2 linked regions of the Callithrix jacchus genome follow. The protein of the gene in region 1 purifies or fractionates together with the protein of each later gene. This does not show direct contact. Links are inferred from orthologs where the notes say so. Each region holds a gene or a part of one and is shown in the gene's direction. Other genes may lie near its edges.

Region 1 (11,872 bases):
AGGCTGTCAAGGAAAGCTTGCTCACATCACATCCCCACCTGGGCTCTGGACCTACCAGAAATCAGCTGGATGAGTCACAGTGAGGTTTTCCACCCTTGCATACCACCTCACACACAGGATGGATTCTGTCTGAGCCTATACTTTGCCTGTTGGCTTGAATTGGATTTGTTTGGTATACAGGTAGTTACACTGGGAATAGACGGTAGGTCCAATTATTCTCAGCAGCAGAGGTTTAGGAATGCATTTCAGTAGTGTCCAGCCATATGGTTAGAGTTTGAGAATAAGGCAAAGGGCTGTCTGACTTCCAACTGCCCAACAGTGTCATTTCCCCCAGCTTGTCACTGGTTCAGTGGCCCCCATCACACAATGAGGATAACAATCGTTGCCTTGCCAACCTCACAGTGGTTATTGTGCCAGGGAACTCTCTCCCAGAGAGCCTTCCCTGACTGTCCCCAGAGTGTGTGGGTTTCTTCTCCTTGCTCCCACAGCTTCCTGTGAATTTGCTTCATTATAGTACCTTTCATTCTGCATTGCCAATGACTGCTTTTCTCTGTGTCTCCTCCAGTCTGTGAGCTCCAGAATGGTAGGAGCTGTATTGGCTGAATCTCAGTGACCTCAGCACTCAGCACCTTGCATAGGGTATGTGCTTGATGCCTGTCTTTGTTAGACTGAACAGAAGTGAAAGTGCTCTGAATGGTGAGGTGTGGTGGTTCACACCTGTAATCCCAGCACTTTGGGAGGTTGAAGCTGGTGGATCTCCTGAGGTCAGGAGTTCGAGACCAGCCTGACCAAGATGATGAAACCCTGTCACTACTAAAAATACAAAATTAGCTAGGCATGGTGGCTCATCCCTGTAATCCCAGCTACTCAGGATGCTGAGGCAGGAGAATCACTTGAACCCAGGAGGCAGAGTTTGCAATGAGCTGAGATTGTGCCACTGCACTCCAGCCTGGGCAGCTGAGTGAGACTCCATCTCAAAACAAAAAAAAATAGTTGGGCATGGTGGTGGGCACCTGTAATCCCAGCTACTCAGAAGGCTGAGGCAGGAGAATCATTTGACACCCGAAGGCAGAGGTCGCAGTAAGCTGAGATGGTGCCATTGCACTCCACCTTAGGCAATGAGAGTGAACTTTTTTTTAGGCTATGACTAAAAAAAAAAAAAAAAAAAAAAAAAAAAAAAAAGTCAGGGCACATGGCTCACGCCTGTAATCCCAACACTTTGGGAGGCCGAGGTGGGTGGATTACGAGATCAGGAGATCAAGACCATCCTGGCCAACATGGTGAAACTATGTCTCTACTAAAATACAAAAATTATCTGTGTGTAATGGCACGTGCCAGTAGTCCCAGCTATTTGGGAGGCTGAGGCAGGAGAATCACTTGAACCCGGGAGGCAGAGGTTACCGTGAGCCGAGATTGAGCCATTACACTCCAGCCTGGGCAGTAAAATGAGACTTAGTCTCAAAAAAAAAAAAAAAAAAAAAGGCAGCCAGGTGTGGTGGCCCATGCCTGTAATCCTAGCACTTTGGAAGCTGAGGCAGCAGGATCTCTTGAAGACAGGAATTCAAGACCAGCCTGGGCAACATAGAAAGACCCCTGTCTCTACAAAAAGTAACAAAATTAGCAGGGTAGGGTAGTGTGTGCCTATAGGCCCAGCTACTCAAAAGGTTGAGGCAGGAGGGTCTCTTGAACACAGGAGTTTGAGGCTGCAGTGAGCGATGATTGCATCATTGCACTCCAGTGTGGGGAGACAGAGACCCTGTCTTTAACAAAAAGAAAGAACAAAAGGAAAATGATGAATATTCACAAAAATGTGAAGAAATTGAAACCCCTGTGAATGTAAAATGCTGCTGCTGCTGTGGAAGACAGTTTGGAGGCTCCTCAAAAAGCCGAACAAGGCTGGACATGGAAGTTCACACCTGTAGTTCCAGCTGCTTGGGAGACTGAGTCGGGAGGATCACTTGAGCCTGGGAGGTAGAGGCTACAGTGAGCCGTGATCACGCCAATGCACTCCAGCCTGGGCAACAGAGTGAGATGCCGTTTCAAACAAAACGAAACCAAACCGCTAAACGTAGCATTATTGTGTAACTCAGCAGTTTCACGTGCACGTATCCGCTCAAGAAAATGGAAAACAAGGACTCGAACAAGTGTTTGAACACCGATGCTCACAGCAGCCGGATTCCCAGTACCAAAAGGTGGTAACAACCCAATTGTTGACAGATGAATGAACAAAATATCATACATACATGCAGTGGGATATTAATCACCCATGAAAAGGAATGAAATTCTAATCCATGCTACAACATGAGTGAACCTTGAAAACTTGATCCTGAGTGAAATAAGAGACACAAAAGCCGGCCAGGTGCAGTGGCTCAAGCCTGTAATCCCAACACTTTGGGAGGCTGAGGCGGGTGGATCACGAGGTCAAGAGATCGAGACCATCCTGGTCAACATGGTGAAACCCCGTCTCTACTAAAAATACAAAAAATTAGCTGGGCATGGTGGCGCGTGCCTATAATCCCAGCTACTCAGGAGACTGAGGCAGGAGAATTGCCTGAACCCAGGAGGTGGAGGTTGCGGTGAGCCGAGATCGTGCCATTGCACTCCAGCCTGGGTAACGAGAGCGAAACTCCGTCTCAAAAAAAAAAAAAAAAGAGAGAGACACAAAAGCCTAATATTGCATGATTCCACTTGTAAGAGGTATCTAAAATGGGCAAATTCATATAGATAGAAAGCAGAACAGAGGTTACCAAGGGATGGGGCAGGAGGGAATGGGGTTATTGCTTAATAGGTGTGGTGTTTCTGTTTGGGATGATGAAAAGTTCTGGAAAGCATGGTATAGTTGCACAATATTGTGAATGTACTTAATTTCACAGCATTGCACTCTTAAAATGGTAAATTTTATGTTATGTATATTTTACAATAAAAATATAAGTGGTTAGATCAATCCTATAATAAAAAGCTTATAAAAAATGAGTAGAAATGGCCAGGCACGGTGGCTCACGCCTGTAATTCCAGCACTTTGGGAGGCCAAAGCGGGCGGATCACTTGAGGTCAGGAGTTTGAGAACAGCCTGGCTAACCTGGTGAAATCCCTGTCTCTACCAAAAAAATACAAAAGTTAGCCGGGTGTGGTGGCGGGCGCCTGTAATCCCAGCCACTTGGGAGGCTGAGGTAGGAGAATCGCTTGAACCAGGGAGGCAGAGGTTGCAGTGAGCTGAGATCGTGCCACTGCACTCCAGCCTGGGCAACATAGTGAGACTTCATCTGGAAAAGAAAAAAAAGAGTAAAAAGTAGAAGGGAATAGAGTGAGAGAAAAGGAAAGAAGGGGTGCGGAAAGTTTGGGGTCTTCAGTGAGTCAGAGATTTGGGATCAGCTGTGTCCCACATAGGGACTGGCACATTGCAGGCACTCAGCTCACATAATGAATGAGAGAATGGTAGGGAAGGAGGGATTTTGAGAATTTGCTATGGTAGCCATTGTATCTCCCAGAATATTCTGGGAGAAATTGAAGTCAAAACTGGAATTCTTAGCTGGGTGCAGTGGCTCATGCCTGTAATCCCAGAACTTTGGGAGGCTGAGGTGGGTGGATCATGAGGTCAGGAGTTTGAGACCAGCCTGGCCAATATGATGAAACCCCGACTCTATTAAAAAATAAAAATAAAAAATTAGGCGGGCACAGTGGCATGTGCCTTTAGTTCCAGCTACTCAGGAGGCTGAGGCAGGAGAATCGCTGGAACTCAGCAGGCAGAGGTTGCAACAAGCCAAGATCACACCACTGCCCTCCAGCCTGGGTGACAGAGGGAGACTCCATCAAAAAGACTGGAATTCTTCTTCTTCTTTTTATATTTTTTTTTTTGTTTTTTGAAACAGAATCCTGCTTTGTCAGCCAGGCTGAGGTTCAGTGGCACAATTTCAGCTCACCACAATCTCTGCATCCCGGGTTAAAGCCATTCTAGTGCCTCAGCCTCCGGAGTAGCTGGGACTACAGACATAAGCCACCAAGCCCGACTAATTTTTGTATTTTCAGTAAAGACGGGGTTTCACCATGTTGGCTAGGCTGGTCTCGAACTCCTCACCTCAAGTGATCCACCGGCCTCAGCCTCCCAAAGTGCTGGGATTACAGGCGTGAGCCACTACGCCAGGCCTGGATTCTTCTTAAATTACTTGCGTTACTAAACTTTACTTCTTTGACTACAACTCGTTGTTGAGGTGTGGCCACACGGGGCCCTGAGCACATAGGTGGGTTCCCATAGGTGAAGCATGTAGGGCGGTAGGGTAAGGGCGCTTAGTTTGCTGGATCAGGTGACAGCTGAACCTTACAGTCAGGAGAGGGAAGCACATTCAGGCCAGCGTGGAGTGGAGGCAAAGGCTGGAGGACAGATGCTGAAGGGTGGGCTACAGTTTTGCCTCTAGGCCAACTGGGTCCCAGGCCTAAGAACTGAAGCGATGGGGATGACCCACACCCAGACCACGGGTCATGGAGGGGTCCGTACATGGCGGGGGGCCCGGGCGCTTTCTCTGCGTCAGAGGGTGTATGGTGGGAGAGGGAAGCCTCCGGAGGTGGCCCGCCGCGGGTCTTGAGCCGGGCCTCTAGCAGAGGGCGCACAAACGAGGCGGTGCTGAGGCCCCCTAGCTGCCGCTCTAGGCAACCTAGTCACAGAGTCGCACCGCTTCCGGCTGTAGAACGGAGAAACGGTGGAAGGAGCCGGAAGTCCGGTGGGCTCCAGGCGTCGCGATGGAGGAGAGCGGGTACGAGTCGGTGCTGTGTGTCAAGCCTGACGTCCACGTCTACCGCATCCCTCCGCGGGCTACCAACCGTGGCTACAGGTGACTCCCCGCCGCCAGATCAGGCTAGCTCCGATTTAACCCTTTCTCCGCCACCCGGACACACCCACTGCGGGAACCGAGGACAGCCCTGGCCAGTGTAGGGGCGAGGGGGAGCTAATGCTGCTGCTGCTTCCAGTTACAGGCCCGAGCAGGGAGGCGAACCCAGAGTTTCGGCCGTCTCAGTACGACGCACGGGACTCCTGGCGGCGGGGAAGGCGTTAAAGCCGTATCTAGTGCTTAGGGAACCCCGGTGGGCTGCCGGGTACCTATTCTGGGTCGGGGGTGGTGGTGTCGTAGACGCTTCTCTTTCGGCGCTAACCGATGGCCTTGAAGGGATCTTTGAAAAGCCTTAAGCGGGGAGGTGCGCTATCACAGTCGGAAATCCCCGAGAGGAGGGGAGAGAGCCCAGGGCCGGCCGAAAGGACTCGTCCAGGGTAGCTTTAAGCTGACGGTCGAAGCCCAGGGCCCCCTTCCTCCTCAGATCCCTTCCCACGAACTTCACCCTTGAACCCAGCCTGGGGCAGCTGGGAAGACCCCATCTACATTCCTCTAATCTCTACCTGAGACGAATAAACACACACGCTTGTAAACATACAGAGAATCTCTGCAAGGGAACACACAGGAAACTGCTCTGGGGAGGAGAACCGCGCCGTTGGAAGGAGACTTCCTTTCCCTTTTGTACTCTTTCCATGTTGTTACCCTTTGTATGCGTTATCTATCAAAACAAGACGAAAAATATTAAAAGAAAAAAGATATACTTCATACAGACAACTTGGCCTATGGCTGTTTTGTGCCGCTGAGTGGTGGTGGGGAGTGCTCGTATGTGCGGGGGCCTGGGTGGCTCTTGAAGGCGATGGTTGTCCAAGTTTTTCGGAAATACAGGATTGGCCCGCACCACATGAATGATGATGGAGCGTCCACATATCCTCTTGTTACTTTCCAGTTGTGTTACCATGGGCTCATAGTTGATTTTATGGTGAAAAGATGTGCTAGTGAACACTACATTCATGAGATATTTTAAAATAGTATTGAAACCAAAATAACAACAGTAACCAGAATACATTTGCTTTCTGTCATCAGACTGCAGATGTACCATGAAACCGTTGATGGTCGTCTACCCTCATCCCCTGTTGGGTCTTCAGTAGGATGAGTTTGGTTCCTCTTGGTGCCCCAGAGAGCAAGGTTACAAATTGTCAGGACTGGCTGGTTTGGCTTAGAGGAAGCTACCAGTGCCTGCGCTTAAGTCTTGGAGCTCTTCTTAGCCTGAATCTCAGGCCTGGTAAGAGGAACTGGAACTGAGTCTGCTGATTTTCTGAATTGACAGTCTGCGTTTGTGCAGCTCTGGAGAACTGGCATAGGGACTTCCAAGAAAAGTCTCCCAGAAACACCTGCAATTCTTGCTATTTGGGGATTTTACTGACCTTTTCTTAGAACTAAAATGTGAAGTTATTTTTTTTTTTTTCTGTCTTGATAGAGTTATAATGAAGTTATTGCTTTAAAAGAGCCAAAACAGGGCCAGGCATGGTGGCTCATGCCTGCGGCACTTAGGGAGGCAGAGGCGGGTGGATCACTAGATCAGGAGTTGGAGACCAGCCTGGCCAACAGGGTGAAACCCTGTCTCTGCTGAAAATACCAAAATTAGCTGGGCGTGGTGGCAGACACCTGTAGACCCAGCTACTCCGGAGGCTGAGGCAGGAGAAGGCTTGAATCTGGGAGGCGGAGGTTGCAGTGAGCTGAGACCATCCCTCAGCACTCCAACCTGGGCAACAGAGCAAGACTCCATCTCAAGAAAAAAAAAAAACTGCCAAAACAGCTGGCTGTGGGGGCTCAGGCCTGTAATCCCAACACTTTGGGAAGCCGAGGTGGGAGGATCCCTTGAGCCCAAGACTTCAGGACCAGCTTGGGCAATATAGTGAGACCCTATCTCTTAATTTTTTTTTTTTTTAATTAGCTGGGTGTGTTGGTACACACCTGTACTCAGGACGGAGGATCTCTTGAGCTCGGGAGGTTGAGGCTTCAGTGAACTGTGGTTGCACCACTGCACTTCAGCCTGGGTGACAGAGTGAGACCCCGTCTCAAACAAATCAGAGCCAAGAGAGGCATTGCTGGCCAGGCTCGGTGGCTCATGCCTGTAATCCCAACACCTTGGGAGGCCGAGGCGGGCAGATCACGAGGTCAGGAGTTTGAGACCAGCCTGGTCAACAAGGTAAAACCTCATCTGTTCTAAAGATACAAAAAATGAGCTGGGTGTGGTGGTACGAGCCTGTAATCCCAGCTACTTGGGAGGCTGAGGCAGGAGAATCGCTTGAACTCAGGAGGTGGAGGTTGCAGTGAGCTGAGATCACACTGTTGCACTCCAGCCTGGGCAACTGGGCATTCCTGTAGGTTCATGGTTTTTCCTGGGTTGCTTCCTAAGCACCCATTCACTTTTCTCACATGTACTGTTCTCCTTTTCTCTTCTTGTGATTGCTCTCCGCTGTCTTTTTCCTTCAAGATAGTTTCACTGGTCTCAAAGGGTCACTCTGACCACTGCAGTCGAGCAATGTCAGAAACAGAAACAGGTGGCTGTGTCTTACGCCTGTAATCCCAGCACTTTGGGAGGCCAAGGCAGGTGGATCATGAGATCAAGAGATCGAGACCATCCTGGCCAACATGGTGAAACTCTACTAAAAATACAAAAATTAGCTGGATGTGGTGGTGCGAGCCTGCAGTCCCAGCTACTTGGGAAGGAGAGGCAGGAGAATTGCTTGAACCCTGGTGGCAGAGGTTGCAGTGAGCTGAGATTATTGTGCCATTGCACTCTAGCCTGGGCAACAGAGCGAGACTGTCTCAAAAAGAAACAGAAACAGAAACAGGTTTCTGCAGCTGCTTCCTCTACAGAAAGGAAACCGGAAGGAAGTCCTATCCGGAGGAGGACTCTGGTCTAGAGAATGGGTCCTCCATCGACAACCTACTGTGTTTTTGTATGGCTCATACCTAAGAATGGTTTTTATATTTTTTCAATGGTTTGGAAAATTTTTAAAGGAGAATATTTCAAACTGAGAACATTATATGAATTTCAGGTTTCAGTGTCTACAATTTGATTGAAATACAGCTGTGCTCAGTAGAAAATATTCATTCAAGATACCTAAAGCATCAACATGTGCATGTACCATATTGCTTTTACAGCAGAGATGCCTTGTGGCAGGCTGTGTTGCCTGAAAAGCCAAAGATATTTACTGTCTGACCCTTTACAGAAAATGTCTGCCAACCCTTGGGCTAGAACAAGTAGCCCTTTCCATCCTCAGCATTGGGGTCATGAAGCAGGAGCCTCTGGCAGAGGTTCAGTGGTGTTTGTCTCTTCAGGGCCGCGGAGTGGCAGCTGGACCAGCCGTCATGGAGTGGCCGGCTGAGGATCACTGCAAAGGGGCAGATGGCCTACATCAAGCTGGAGGACAGGACCTCAGGTAACCGCAAGGGAGGCCGCTCCAAGCTGAGGGATTGCACTCCCACTTTATGAAGGGAGAGTTGGCCTGGTCTGGCCAGGCTGCTCAGGAGTCATGGGAACCTGTCCTGAAAGTCAGAAATGTGTGTATACCTTTAAGCTGTACCATTCCCTCACCTTAGTTGTAGAATGTACTGTCCCCAGGTGTACAAACGAGTATTTCCTGTTAAGCACCAGTTCTTTTTAGGAGTCCTCAGGAAAATGCGGAGGCCAAGGAAAGGAGACTGCAGCTTGGTCTGGGTAGGAAGTAGGAAGCCCTGGAATTGGCCTTGAAGACAGTCGGGGTAAAGATGCACAGCCTCTACCGCTGGGCTCTGCTTCCTACAGAGGAATTGTTTATCAGCGAAGCTCCCAGAGCTGACCACACCCATTCACTGAAGGAGCTGAAAACTGTCCTACTCAGCTCTTTCTGTAGGGAGAGGACAGGCCGAGGTGGGTCATGTTGGGGTCAGCTGGCAGAGATCGTCTTGAGGGAAACTTCACAGGTCCTGGGCCACCAGTGCCTCTGGGTGAGCTGTGGACGGCAATACCTCTGGAGTACCCCTCGCTGCCACCCCGAGTGGGGTCGGACATAGTGCTGGCCCAGTCAGGTGCCACAACGTTCAGTCATTTTTTTTTTAATCTGTAGAGATTTTCCTTTGTAGAGCAGAAGAAAGTGCAAAAGTTTAGAGACAGAACTGGCTGCCTCTTCTCAGAACTATGTTCTGCCGGAGCTGCTGGACATTGGGTGAGCCATGTGACCTCTGGAGCCTTGGCTTCCTTCTTGTTGAAATGAGGATCATGTTAGTTACTCCTTCATAAAATTGTTGGAGATAGGAAGTGAGCAGATACTTATCTGATTGCTTTATGAGCCGCAAGGCAACCCAAAGCATTGATGTGTTCTTTGGGAACTTGCGTTCTGGCGGCAGAGGAGTTTGAAGAGGCAGCTGCCATGGCCAGACCAGAGGATTTTAGCTAGAGAATTGCTGGGATATCCCAGGTAGTGTCATGAGAGAATGGTAACACCTCTTGTTCTCTGGGGAATTTGGGAACTGTGACTTTAACATGACTACCTAATGTAACAGCCACTGCCCAGGGCTTAGCCTGCCCTGTGGGACCCACCCCAAGGTGGTCTTTGCTTAAGGTCATACCTGGATCACGTTAGTCTCTGACCTTCCCATGAGGTAATGAGCATATCACTCTAGGCCAGGCTTTCTCAGCCTCGGCACTGTTGACATTTGGGGCCAGATGGGTCTTTGTTTTGGAGAGCTGTGGAGCCCAATGAGGATATTTAGCAGCACCCCCCAAGTTGTGTCAATCAAAATTATCTCTAAACATTTCTAGATGTCTCTTGGGGACAGGGGAGCAAAATTGCCCCTGCTTGAGAACTGCTGTAGGCTGAAGGTATCTTGGTGAGGTTGGAACAGAAGGCAAATAAATTTGACAAGCTGCAGATTCTAGGGCTGTTGGTTTTGAATCAGTTCAGCCTTGATTACAAAATTACCTCTAGGCAGGGCATGGTAGCTCATGCCTATAATCCCAGCACTTCAGGAGGCCAAGACAGGTGGATTACTTGAGCCCAGGAATTCCAGACCAGCCTGGGCAATATGACAAAACACTGTCTCTAATAAAAATACAAAAATTAGCCAGGCGTGGTGGTGCACACCTGTGATCCCAGCTACTTCAGAGGCTGAGGCACAAGAATCACTTGAACCAAGGAGGTGTATGTTGCAATGAGCTGAGATTTTGCCACTGTACTCCAGCCTGGGTGACAGAGCAAGACTGTTTGAAAAAGAAAACAAAAACCCAAAAAACAAAGTTACCTCTAAACCACAGGACTCAGTAGAAGGTATTTGGTTAAATACCTAAAGCACCAGCCAGGTGTGACTCATGCCTATAATCCTAGGGCTTTGAGAGACCAAAGTGGGAGGATCACTTGAGGCCAGGAGTTAGCAGCCTGGACAACATATCAAGACTCTATCTCTAATAAAATAAATTGAGTGGACATGGTGGTATGTGCCTATATTCCCAGCTACTCGAGAGGCTGAAGCAGGAAGATTACTTGAGCCCAGGGGTCGAGGCTACAGTGAACTATGATCCGCTGCACACTGCACTCCAACCTGGGCAACAGAGCATGACCCTGTTTCTTTCTTTCTTTCTTTCTTTTTTTTTTTTTTGGTCACCCTGGCTGGAGTGCAGTGGCGCAATCTCAGCTCACTGCATCCTCCAACTCTCCTGGGGTTAAGGGATCCTCCTGCCTTAGTCCCCCAGGGAGCTGGGACTAAATGTGCATGCCACCATGCTTGGCTAATTTTTATATTTTTTGTAGAGACCGGGTTTCCCCATATTGCTCATGCTGGTCTCAAATTCCTGGGCTTGGCTGGGTGCAGTGGCTCATGCCTGTAATCCCAGCACTTTGGGAGGCTGAGGTGGGTGGATCACTTGAGGTCAGGAGTTCAAGGCCAGCCTGGCCAACATGGTGAAACCCCACCTCTACTAAAAATACAAAAATTAGCCGGGTGCAGTGACAGGCACCTGGTTAAATTCAGACAATTGAATCTAAAACTCCGCTGCTCGGGAGATTGAGGCAGGAGAATTGTTTGAACCTGGCAGGCAGAGGTTGCAGTGAGCTGAGATCACGCCACTGCAATCCAGCCTGGGCGATAGGGCGAGATTCCATCTCAGGGAAAAAAAAAAAAAGGTATAAATCAAATTTCTGGTCTCAAGCAACATACCCATACCCGCAGTGCTGGGACCATACCCAGTTCATGACCCTATATCTAAAAGACAAAACAAAAAATACTAAAAGCACTAACAGAGGTCAGCACATGCAAAAAACTGATGCCAGTCATAAATGCTCATGGAAGTTTTACGTTGCACTGCGCCTGTCGAGTGCTGTAGTTGACAAGGTGATGTGTTTCACAAAGGATCCTTTTAAAGCTACTCACACTTACACTATAACTCAGATTGAATTAAATCAACCTGCTTCAGATTCTCTATGGATGTGAAAACTTCCTCCCTTCTTTCCACGGGGCTCACTGGCCCCTCTTACTGTCCTGCCTCAGGCACTAGGCCTCATCAGCAGGTGTACCTAGGGCAGGGCTCACCTGTTCTAGGACACTCAAGGTTTGGGCAGGTAATGTAAGTGGGTAAAGCAGATGGAACAGATGGGCTAGTAGCTCCAGCTTATTCTCAGGTAGGCTTGGAGTCTCAGCATTGATAGAGGTTAATTTTAAGAGAAGCCAGGCAAAATTCTAAACTGTGGGCTAGACTTGGCCTGTAAGCCATCTCTAACTTAAATCTTTCCTTGGTTATATTTTCTGTGTCTTCCCTTTAGCAGGAATGGATTTGATTTGAATCCCAGAGTAAGGTTTGCCAATCTGTCTCAGCTGGTTAGAGGTGTCTTGCAGGAAAAAGGCCCAGTGGTGTGGTAGAAACATGTGGTTGGAAGGGGGCTCAGGGCTCAGCCTAACCTGTGCTTTCAGGGGAGCTCTTTGCTCAGGCCCCAGTGGATCAGTTTCCTGGCACAGCTGTGGAGAGCGTGACGGATTCCAGCAGGTACTTCGTAATCCGCATTGAAGAT
Region 2 (11,777 bases), on another chromosome or scaffold:
GTGCCCCCGGAACTGACCGCCAGCCGACAGTCCTTCCGCATGGCCATGGGAAACCCCAGTGAGTTCTTTGTGGATGTGATGTGAGCAGGGCCCCGCCCCACCTCCATTCCGCTACCACCCTAGCCGGCTGCGTTCCTCTCCATCCGTCCGTCTTTTTTACTTTGTTTGGTACCTGAAAGGGAAATAAACGGAACTTAATCCAGGTGCGCTAACTGCTCGCAGGGTGCTGCAAGGGTGGAATGCACCTACCGATTGGCTCTGCAGCCCCCTAACCTGCCTCTGGCCCCAGTTCGTTTCCTTTGCCCACTAACTGCTGCACAGGAATTCCCAGAATCCTTTGTGTCCCCGGGACCAGACTTGGTGCTGCCCCTTCCTCCCCTCTGCAAACCCCCTTTTGGGAGTTGTCTCCGGCAGTGTCCTTGACGGGATGCTTACTCCCTCATTCTCTCATTTCCCCTTCAGCTCCCTTTCACCATTCACTCAGCTACATCATCCTTATATTAACTCCACCCCATCAGGCATGTGTGCAGACCTCTTGACTACCCCACATTAATGACACCAAAATACATTTGCTTCACCTGCCCCTACTAACCAACCCCTGCCTGCTGCCTCAGTCTTGCAACCTAAAGCTGTAGTCGCCTCCGGTAGCCATCGTGCTGTCCCTGCCTGTGCCAAGATCAGAGGTCCCGAGGGCCCCCTCAGTTGCCTGAGCAGCTACTGGCTTCCAGAGAGCATCTCTGCTCTACCCCTGCCCCTGCCTGCCCTGTGTGCTGGTTTCTTTGGACCCCTAACCCTACTAACCAGCAGGCTCATCTCACCTCCAGGCCTGAAACATTTCTTTTCTTTCTTTTTTCCTCCCCTTATTTTCCCTGGGCCTGGAGCAGCCAAGAATTTCGGGCTGTTTGACTTTCTGTGAGCCCCCAGCGAGGGGAGGCCCAGCCTCCGAGGAGACCAGGAACCCTGCTTCGGCAGCGCCTCAGGGCTTCCCAAGGATGTCCAGCCCCCACACCCACACGTTAACATACTGAGTCACTAAGCTTCTGGGGAGGGCCCAGCTTCACCAGTGCATGGAGACTCTTCTCCTTTCCAGAGAGAATCAGGCCACACAACACATGGCAGGCTGCAGGGGGCCTCTCTAGCTCTCTTTATCTTTCTCACTCTTGCATGCATACATGCCCAGAGACACGCACAGGTGCCTATGCAAGTTCAGTTAAGCCTCGGGGCTGGCCCCTGCCCAAAGGGCTGGACCCTCTCTCCTAATCCTCTCCTAGGTTGTGGGGCTGGTCCCCTGACATCCTTCTTCCCTTGCTGGTAGCTCTCAAAACTCCCACACATCCCTAGCATTTTCGCACCTGGATAAAGCCCGTAAACTGGGTCAAGCTGGACTCAGCAGAGGACTTGCCCCACAACTGACAGGCCATTCCCACCCCACACACAACCTTACCCGTTTTCACATTCATCATGGCACCCCAGTGCAAGGACACAGGAGCCCACAGGCCAGTTGAGGCTGGGCAAGGACACTTCCAGGACTTCCAGACCGAGTGCCAGGTTTTATTTTTCACCTTATTCTCCACTTTAAACAAATCATGGTTTTCTCTTTAAGCCTCTGCTATAAATTCTGGCTCCCCTGGGCTTCCATATTTTTGGGTCTGGGGTGTCAAAAGTGAGATGAGGTCCTTAGCTGTAGGTTTTGAGGTAAACCAAGGTAGGGACATTTTGGCATTCATTCAATTAACAATACTTGTCCAGGTGTGGTGGCTCACGTCTATAATCCCAGCACTCTGGGAGGCTGAGGCAGGCAGATCGCTTGAGGTCAGGAGTTCAAGATCAGCCTGGGCAACATAGTGAAACCCCATCTCTACTAAAATTACAAAAATTGGATGGGTGTTTTGGTGCCTGACTAATCTCAGCTACTCAGGAGGCTGAGGCATGAGAATCGCTTGAACCCAGGAAGTGGAAGTTGCAGTGAGCTGAGATCGCACCACTGCATCTACCCTGGGTGACAGAGTGCGATTCTGCCTCAAAAGCAAACAAACAAAAACAATACTTCTTGGGGTTTTGGTGAGCAGAGGGCTTTGCTGGAAGTGTGACTCAGTCTTGCCTGCCTTCTGGGAACTCTAGATTTTCCTCAACTCCAGTCCATGGCTTCCAGCCACCACAGCAGGGCTGTTTCATGTACTTCTCGCTCTCACTCTGTCTTGTCCAACCCTCTTGAGAATTTCTCCACAATTGCTCGTGCCTGTCAGTATCAGTGCTTCCATCTTTCTGTCTTGGATTCACTTCTCTTTCCTTTCTATTTACTCCCAAAATGGAGTCATTCATCCTGATATCCTCAATTGCTGCTGATATGCTGGTGATTCCCAAATATATAGCTCCAACCCCAACTTCCCCCAGACTTCAGATCTGTATTAGTGTTACCTACTGGACATCTCTGGGCATTTCCATATGGACTCACGTGCCCAACCAAGTATGTTTCTCCTGAATTCCTGTCCTGGTTACCTTCATCACAATCTACATAGGCTCACCAGCTAGAAACATTTATGAGCTTACATTCCTTCTTCCCATATCTTACTCATCAGCACATCATATCCATTTCACTCCAACAATCTTTCTTGAATTTTCCCTCCCTCTCCTCTCTGTCTCTACTTTAATTCACTGGAGCATGGGATTTGGAGTCAGGTTGTTTTGGGTTTGAATTCCAGCTCTACTATTTTTGGTTGTGTGATAGGAGAGTTATTTAACCTCTCTGAGCCTCAGTTCCCTCGTATGTAAAATGATGATAATAATACCTACCTCACAGGGTTGTTGTGAGGATTTAAATTAGATATTGTACGAAAAGTGCCTAGCACAGTGCCTGGCACACAGTAGAGTAGGTGCTCAATAAATGGTAGCTATTATTATTATTATTTTATCATTATTATTTACTCTGGTAGCAGTTTAGGGTATTTTTGGAAGATAAAGCTTTTTGCAGAGGTAGGAGTCTTGAAGCCTTGAGTGCTGGTTCAAAAATTAGAAATGCCAATATTCAGTCATTTAATGACTTCAGGCTGTGACTACGATTTGGAGGAGGTCAGATCTTCATCCAGCCACATCGTGGCATCTGGCTGGAGGCTGTGAAGGACTGTAACATTTGCAACCAGATCTGCCCTTTCTTGCCCTTCCTTCTTCCCATGACAGGTGCAGTCCTGCCCAAGGAAGGCAGCAGTTTCTCTCTGCCCACAGAAAGAGAGGAGCCAACAGATCTTCTTCAGATTCTGCAAGAACCAAGCAAGCCCTTCATGTTTGAGGGTTGGCTCTATCTCCTCAGCTTGGATGTAAAGCTTATGTTTATCAAAGAGGAGATTTCAAATCCCATGTCCAACTAAATTCAACTCTTTTAACATCTTTTGAGCAGCATATATGCCTATCACTAGAAGTCATAACAATCGTATAGCTAAGGAGAACATTGGCCCGTTCATGAAAAGCTTTAGCTGACCTCGAGGAAGAGTGTACAGTCATGGACATATTTGTGAAAAGCTTTAGTTTCTTCCCAAGTAGTCGCCTCCTTCCTCCCCGCTCTTCTCCTTGGGTCTTGAATCCCTTGGAAAAAGCTCATGTCTGGAACAAATGTCTGAGAAAAGCTTGGGAGAATCAGAGGTACAGTTAGAAAGCAGTAAATTCGGCACAAACACTTCTGCCAAGTTGCATTTATTTGTGTGTAAAGTGAGGACAGCCAGTCTTGGAACTCTGGAGACAGAAAAGGCCTACAGCAATCCGAGGTTTAACAGATGTGCTTCTACAAACGGCATTAATATTCCAAAGCTCTCTGAAACAAATAGAAACAGGAAGAAGTGCAGAGACTACAATTCCCAGAGTGCTCAGTGAAAAAAAAATAAGGTGGGTGGAGCGGTGTATGCTGGACTGTGTATTTCTGGTAGGGCCGACTAAGGCCACGCCTATCTCTCCCCCTGAGGCGGGGACGGTTTCTCGAAGGCCGTCGGTAGTTGTGGTTTTGCTAAACGTAGAGCGCTTCAAATCGCTAGCAAGGAGGCACCGAAGCCTGACGGGATTTGTAGTCAGCGCGGGAGGCGGGCGCGCAAGCGCAGCCGGCTCCGGGGCGGGGCCGCGGCACTGCGGTGAAAGCCCAGGCAGCGGGCAGACGAGCAGGGGGCGGGCGGACATCTTGGGATTCCGAGAGTGGCCAGGCCGGCAGAGCATAGGGCCGCGGACACCAGGTGAGCCGGGCATCTGGCCTTATGGGTTGGGGGAGAACGCCGCGGGTCGTCTGTCCCGCCGCCCAGCTTTGCCTGCCCTGCACTGAGCTGGGAGAAAAGCTGCCCACACCCGGGAGTGGCTTCAGCCTTCAGACCCGGGAGCGAGCGGACGGTGGGGCGGGGGCGCCCAGGGCGCGGTTGCAGGGCTGGCGGGGAGCGGCGCCCTCCACCTGACCCGCCTGGCGACTCCCATGAGGGAGACCGCCTGGAATCCTCCCAGAGCAGGAACACTGCGCAGCGCCCCCTCCCTAGGATCCTGCCAGCCCCCTGGCCCTCCGCGCAAGGACAATTTTCCCGTCTCGTAGGACAGTGACACCCCCTTGTGCCGCCGCCTTGCACCGTGACAAGTCTCACACCATGCAGCGCCCCCTCCTCTGAGTTCAGTGACACCCCTTGGCTCTTCCTTAGACCTGTGACAGCCCCCGCACCCCGTGGCACCATTTTTTCCCACGATGCCCTCCCCAAGGCGAAAAGCCCACGACCCCCTCATTACTCTGCAGCGGAATCCCAGACAGGTTCTGTCAGCCCCAGCTTGTTCACCACTGTCAATCTCCCCCTGCCGGCTTTTCCTTCTTAAAGCCTTGACCTTTTCCATATAGGGAACTCTTACCTTTAGGTGCACCCCACCAGCCCAGTTTGCTGCTGTGAGCTCACCTGGGGACTCTGCCTGGCTGTCGCTGCAGGTCTTTCCCCTTAACTAAATGTTCCATTTCTGCCCAAGGCCCCACCTCCGGCTCTCCGGTGCCCTGCGCTACCTACCACCCGGTACCTGTGGACTTGGTTCCTTGCCCCAGGCTCTACCTCCATTTTGCATCTCCTTTCCTAGGCTGTTTGGAACTGAGGCATGGGATGAGTCTACCACCTTGAGAGAGCGCTCACCCCTCTGGAAGACCTTGACAGCCACAGGAAAAGGCCTTATTTTCCAGTTTGGAAAAGTCTGCTAAAGTACTTCCTGTGAAATTAATACCAGGGCTAATCCAGGAAATCTGAAACCAAACTAGCGCCTTTTCTCAAACAATTTAAATTAATTTGACCCAAATAATTTGGATAATTCAGGCATTCTGACATCCCTGGCTCTTGCTTAGAGGTACCCAGGCCAGCAGTGAGTTACTAGATGGGCCTGGATCACGATTTCGGATGGAAGGATTTCTTAATTTTATGAGCTTGCACCACCCCCACCCCCACCGCAGTCCTCATTTTTATTGCATTCCAGAGCTTTTTGAAAGGGGAGCGGTGGTCAGAGGTAACTGTGATAGTAGCTTGGGTGATGGAAGTGTAGTCTGCCAGCACTGGACCTTCCTCCTTTGCCCTTCGCCTGCTTATTCCACTGCCAGGAAGAAGAGGTTAAGCCACACTCGCGGGTCGACAGTAGGGCCTAAGGGCTCCCTTCTCTTCTCCTCCTCACACCCTTTCCTGGAATGTGAGTGCCGGAGGTTCAGGCCCTGCGACCTTCTCTGAAGGGTAGTGGAGCCCTACCCGAGCGACTGGATGCTCTAAAGGTTAGGCCTGGGGGCTCCAGGCCTGAACCAGCTGTCGTAATTCCTATTGCCATTCCTGCAGCGGCAGGCAGGCAGGCCTTAGTGACTCACGGGCTGGAGCCTGAGACTGCACAGGAGGTGGCCGAAAAGGATCATTTCTGAGCTCAGTGCTCAGGAGAGGGGGCGGGGGTTACTGATGCTCAGCCCCAGGAAAGGGAGGGTCAAAATGGCCTTAGAGTCCTGGGCCTAACCTCTCTCCTTTTCTTTCTCCCATCCAGTGTGGAATAAACAGGAACTGGAGCCTGGCTGAGGGGAGGGGCCTGTCTGGGAGGGCTGCAGGGTCACTTGCTAGAGGGTTGAGTCAGGAAAAAGGCTCCAGTGACCTGCACAGCTCCACAGGGGATGTTGGCAGGGGTTCTGAGGCCTTTTACCCGCCCCTGCCTATCCTAGGTCTGTTCTCAGAGCGATGGGCCTCGGAGACTGATCTGCCGCCATGATTGGAGGCTTATTCATCTATAATCACAAGGGGGAGGTGCTCATCTCCCGAGTCTACCGAGATGACATCGGGTGAGTCCCCTGGCCCAGCCAGCTGTGCCCCCCTTCGCCCCCCCTCCAGCCCCAGCATGCAGGATTAGGTCTGTTCCCACCAGAGGCTTGACTTGGGCCACTCCGACTCCTGGCTGCATCCTGGAAGCCCAGCTAGTTAGCCTGGCTCCCATTAGGTCTGGTGGTATTGGCCTGGCAGGCAGCCTGCAGGCCACAAGGTGGGACCTGTGGAATGGCAAGGTCCCACAGCCTGAGGAACTCCTGCCCTTCCTGCATCCCGTTTCTTTAGGCCTGGGTGCTCTGGGTGCTGAAGATGAGTGCTTTTGCCCAGGCTACTTAATTCCTTCCTTGAGGAGGAGGGAGAAGTGCCTCCAGTGGGTGGAGTTAGTGGCCAGGCTGGAGGTCCTAATCCATCTAAGCCTTGCTCTCAGAAGCCCTTCTCATGTCAAGCGCCTTCACTGGATTCTATTGAAAGCCTCTCCAGGCTGCCGAATCCTCTCAGGCTTCCTTTCTCAGGAGGAGTCATGCTGCTGACTCAGCTGTCTTCAGTTCCTCTGGGCCATTCCTGGGGGAGATGCTGGGAGGAAGCGTGAGGCACTCTCCGGGTCATGGAGGGAGGGCAGGGAGGCCATGCTGCCGTCCCTGGCCTATCAGACGGCCATGCTGCCGTCCCTGGCCTATCAGACGGCCATGCTGCCATCCCTGGACGGCTCCATATGCTGGGCCCCTTAGACCTTCTCACAGCCACAGCCTGCCTTCTCATTCTGTGCCCCCTGGACACCCTCGTTCTTTCCGACTGAGGGGACCTAGCTAGCCTTCGAGGCACTAAGGAGATGAGGCTCCTCTGGTTCCTGCTGCCTGTTGTTCTTCCCCAGAGAGCTGGAGATAAAGTCACAGAATGGGCCTGTTGCTGTGCCTCTCACTTGACTCCCTGGGTGTTGGGCTGGCCTGGCCTTTGAGGCTGTTTGTCTGTTGGCTGGTGGAGTGCCATGGGCTAGAGCTGCAGCTATGGCAAGGCCTGGCCTGGCTGAACCTGGCTGGCTACACCCCACCCCAGCCCCTCCTGCCTTGGATGGACTGGGCAAGCCAAGGCTGATCATGCGCCGCCTTGCCTGTCCCGTCTGCCTCTGCCTCACAGTGTGTGCTCCCTCCCGGTGTGTTGTGTGTCTAACCCTCTCTCTCGTTGCTGTCACTCTCCTCTTCTTGCTGGCGTCATTTCTCTCATCCCATCTCATTGGCTGCCGTAGCAATAGGTAAGCGGCCTCTCAAGCTGCTGCCCAGGTACAGGTGGGGGGGCCCTGCCCCCATCATTGTTTTCCTGCATCCTTTTCCATTCCCTGAACTTGCTCTGGAGTTGGATCCTGGCAAGAATGGGTTGCACAGTTCCACAGCCCCTTGGTACCTCTCCCTCCTTCGTGACTTCTGAAGTCATGCTGGCTTTGTCTAACTTCTGGAGGAGCTGGCCTTCCCCACTGCTGGGACACTAGCGGGAGGACTGGAGAAGAAGTGTCTCCTCCTGTCCTGGGCCTGGGAGCTTACGGGGAAGCTAGAGAAAGCTGGGAAACTGGGCCAGCCCTGGGAGTCAGGACTGCCTGTCTCTAAACCTGATGAACTTCACGTTATTAAGGTTACGTCGGCCTTGATACCTGACTTCCCTATTTCTCGGGGGCTGCAGACACCAGCCCCGCTCCGGCCCGCTCCCCATGCCTCCACGGGCAGTCATGAGAAGGGAACCACCCTAGTGGTTTAGGCACTGGTTTTCTTTAGAGCGTGTGTGTCAGACTTCTGCAGTAAGGAGGGTGGGGCTGTTAGCAGCTGTGGTTGGTCCTTGTTGGGTGAGGTTGGCCTGGGTGCTGAGCAGGCCCCATGCGCCCTTTTCCCTCAGGAGGAACGCAGTGGATGCCTTTCGGGTCAATGTTATCCATGCCCGGCAGCAGGTGCGCAGCCCCGTTACCAATATTGCACGCACCAGCTTCTTCCACGTCAAGCGGTCCAACATCTGGCTGGCAGCAGTCACCAAGCAGAATGTCAACGCTGCCATGGTCTTCGAATTCCTCTATAAGATGTGTGATGTGATGGCTGCCTACTTTGGCAAGATCAGCGAGGAAAACATCAAGAACAATTTTGTGCTCATATATGAGCTGCTGGACGGTGAGGCTGCTGGGCTGGCAGGGCGGTGGGCCAGGGTGGGGAAGACACAGGCTGGGCCGGGCCTGAAGCTGGGTGCAGGTCTGAGGCTCTGGTGGACTCTGAACTTTCTGAGTATCTGGTCTCTTGGGCTAGGATCTCTATGCCTCTTAGAAGGCCAATTCACATCTAGACCTGAAGGCTGCTCTGAAGTAGAACACAGAAATAGGCCAGCAGGTGTTTGGTGTTTCGGGGGGCTTGGAACCTGACTCAGGTTTGGTGGCTGAGCCTCCCATATTCATCCTCTTTCCTCTGTGGCTTGGACCTTGGTTCACTGGCTGTCCTCCCGGTTTCCCATCTCGGCAGCTGCTTCAGAGCCTGGGGGAGAGTGAGCTATGACAGGCCCCTTTAGGTGCGCTGTTACCTCTGTTTCTCTGTAGAGTGTGATGGAAGGGCAGGTGAGTCCTTCCCTCTTCCGAATGTCTATTTTCTGGAGAAAACGGCTCGAAGCTTCTTGACTTGCCTCCCGCTGGCCATGCGACTCTTCTGTTGATGTCTCTTTTTTTTTTGAGACAGGGTCTTCTCTTGTCACATATGCTGAGTGCAGTGGTGCAGTCGCAGCTCACTGAAGCCTCAGCCTCCTGAGTAGAGGGGACCATGGGCACATGCCACCGTGCTTGGCTCATTGTGACTATTTTTTGCAGAGCTGGGTCTCACTGTGTTGCCCAGGTTGCTCTTGAACTCCTAGTCTCAAGTGATTCTTCCCCTTTGGCCTCCCAAAGTGTCGGGATTACAGGCATGAGCCACTGTGCCTGGCTTTGATTTCTCTAGTTGAAAAAAATAAAACGTTTAAATTGTTTTCTTATAAAGCGCAAATCAGAATAAATGCTACAGAGCTAGAAGACTTTGTTGAGATGATGCCACAGGGTCTTTGGAAGCTGCGCCAGCCAGACATGCAGGCCCGAGCAGGGACTGGAATGAAGCTTTGACCGGGGGCTGATGGTTCCCTTCTTTTTGCAGAGATTCTAGACTTTGGTTACCCACAGAATTCCGAGACAGGCGCGCTGAAAACCTTCATCACCCAGCAGGGCATCAAGAGTCAGGTACTTGAATTGTGCAAACCATAGTCAGGGTGGAGTCCAATCTCCCTTCATCTCCGCTGGCCCCTGAGCCTTGTCTGAGCTGACTCGTGAGCCCTCCCATGACAGGAAGTGCTGGCCTGAGCCTCCTGCTGTGATTGCAGGCTTAGTTTGCCCTGTGTGGTCCTCCCGCTGCAGGAGCAGCCAATTCAGCATCTCTGTTACCAGGAATACAGCTCCAGCAGTTTCCTTCTGCACTGAGGGGTTGGGGAGGAGGCCTGCTCCTGAGGCCTGGTGTTCCTTGTGGGGAGAGAGCTTGGGCCCTCTCCTAGGATCCAAGCCTCATAGTTTTCTCCTCCTTTTCTGCCTCCCTGGCTGCTTCATGTGGGCACCTCGTTGGCCCTGCGGCCCCCAGCATCAGGTAAGCTGTTCCCTTGGCTTCCACCCATGCGGCTTTGCTTTGCTTTATCCAGGCCCTGCCCTTTGGGGCTCACAGGGGAAAATGGATTACAGGTGTGGACTAGAAGGGAGGGGAATGAGGGTGGAATGGGGATAGGGACAGGAGGAGGGAAGGGAGAGAGGAGTGAGGCTATTGCTGTTTGTCTCTGCCCCCATATAGACAAAAGAAGAGCAGTCACAGATCACCAGCCAGGTGACGGGGCAAATCGGCTGGCGGCGAGAGGGTATCAAGTATCGCCGGAATGAGCTCTTCCTGGACGTGCTGGAGAGTGTGAACCTGCTCATGTCCCCACAAGGTGAGGTCCCTTTCATGATAAAGCAGGAGGAGGCCAGGGCAGGATCCTGGGCCTGCCTGCCTGACTCTGCTGCTCCCCATTTGTCTGTTCATCACCAGGGCAGGTGCTGAGCGCCCATGTGTCGGGCCGGGTGGTGATGAAGAGCTACCTGAGTGGGATGCCTGAATGCAAATTTGGGATGAATGACAAGATCGTCATTGAAAAACAGGGCAAAGGCACAGCTGATGAAACAAGCAAGAGGTACCTGAGGCAGGGAGCTGGCGGGAAGGGGTGTCCTGCGGGCTCAGTGGGGTCTAGTGAACCCAAGTTTCTTCAGAACTTCATTCCCACCATAATTGTAAACTCTCTGTTCCCAGTGGTAAGCCTGGCTATTTGCTCTTGACATTAGTGCTAAGAGAGATGAGAGAATTGTCCTCAGAGAGCAAGCCCCTTTGTTTGGTCCCTAGGACCAAGGTCTCTTCTGTACATACTGACAGCCTCTGTCCTGTGTGCCTGAAACACCCCAGTCCCGAACAGCAGGGCTCTCTGGAGAGAATGAGCTTGCAAGCTTCCCTCTCATCCCAAACTCTGGGGCAGACCTCTATGTCAGAAAGCTGCATTCTAGCAGCTTTTCATAGTCTCTGGTGCTAGCCTGGGGTGGAGTGGTCTGCCAGCCTGTCACCTGTCAGTCTCCTATACCAATAAAACCTCCTCCTCTGCCCCTGCCTATAGCGGGAAGCAATCAATTGCCATTGATGACTGCACCTTCCACCAGTGTGTACGACTCAGCAAGTTTGACTCTGAACGCAGCATCAGCTTCATCCCGCCAGATGGAGAGTTTGAGCTTATGAGGTGCCACTGGGGTGGGAGGAGGCAGCGAGTGCTGCTGGCAGAGATTGAGGAGAGGAAGTACATCAGGCTCTTTGGTGACCTTGCTTCCCATCCCTTAGGTATCGCACAACCAAGGACATCATCCTTCCTTTCCGGGTCATCCCGCTAGTGCGAGAAGTGGGACGCACCAAACTGGAGGTCAAGGTGGTCATCAAGTCCAACTTTAAACCCTCACTGCTGGCTCAGAAGATTGAGGTGAGGACAAGGGGCTCTGGGAGGAGGAAGAACTTGTCCCTAGGCATAAAGGCAGCTGATATCACAGCTTGACAGAGCTCCCTGACAGGTGTGTCACTTCTAGGTGAGGATCCCAACCCCCCTGAACACAAGTGGGGTGCAGGTGATCTGCATGAAGGGGAAGGCCAAGTACAAGGCCAGCGAGAACGCCATCGTATGGAAGTGAGTCTTTCCTTCATTAGGCCACAGCAGGGCTCGAGATGGCAGTGCACCTTCTTGTTTCATCTTTGATCTTCTGCATGAGGGGTAGGGGGAGTGTGCCTGTTTGCTGTTCTAGGAGCCTCGGCTTGTACTGTCAGCCCTTATACCTCTGTGTGAGTATGTACATACACGCCTGCATTGGGGTTCATGCATGTGCTTGTTTTTTAAGATGCTTCAGCGTTTCCCTACTTGCCCCTGTAATATATCTGTGAGGCAGACAGCAGAAGACAGTGT

The links.
Region 2: the proteins of NECAP2 (region 1) and AP2M1 purify together in Homo sapiens (affinity purification with mass spectrometry; 4 studies listed by BioGRID and IntAct, counting the BioPlex papers as one, with this or other methods). This does not show direct contact. The link is inferred for Callithrix jacchus from reciprocal best matches to the Homo sapiens genes NECAP2 and AP2M1.

What each region holds. Positions count from the first base shown.
Region 1 is NC_133508.1:53,748,922-53,760,793, forward strand, and holds the start of NECAP2 (adaptin ear-binding coat-associated protein 2), read left to right. Parts: upstream 1-4,714; 5' UTR 4,715-4,734; coding exon 4,735-4,826; intron 4,827-8,171; coding exon 8,172-8,272; intron 8,273-11,774; coding exon 11,775-11,872. UniProt on the Homo sapiens protein: Involved in endocytosis.
Region 2 is NC_133516.1:13,156,136-13,167,912, forward strand, and holds the start of AP2M1 (AP-2 complex subunit mu), read left to right. Parts: upstream 1-4,109; 5' UTR 4,110-4,214; intron 4,215-6,181; 5' UTR 6,182-6,224; coding exon 6,225-6,298; intron 6,299-8,162; coding exon 8,163-8,428; intron 8,429-9,424; coding exon 9,425-9,507; intron 9,508-10,102; coding exon 10,103-10,238; intron 10,239-10,336; coding exon 10,337-10,478; intron 10,479-10,949; coding exon 10,950-11,069; intron 11,070-11,167; coding exon 11,168-11,303; intron 11,304-11,406; coding exon 11,407-11,504; intron 11,505-11,777. Other genes in the region: DVL3 (segment polarity protein dishevelled homolog DVL-3), read left to right, coding at 1-58, 885-916.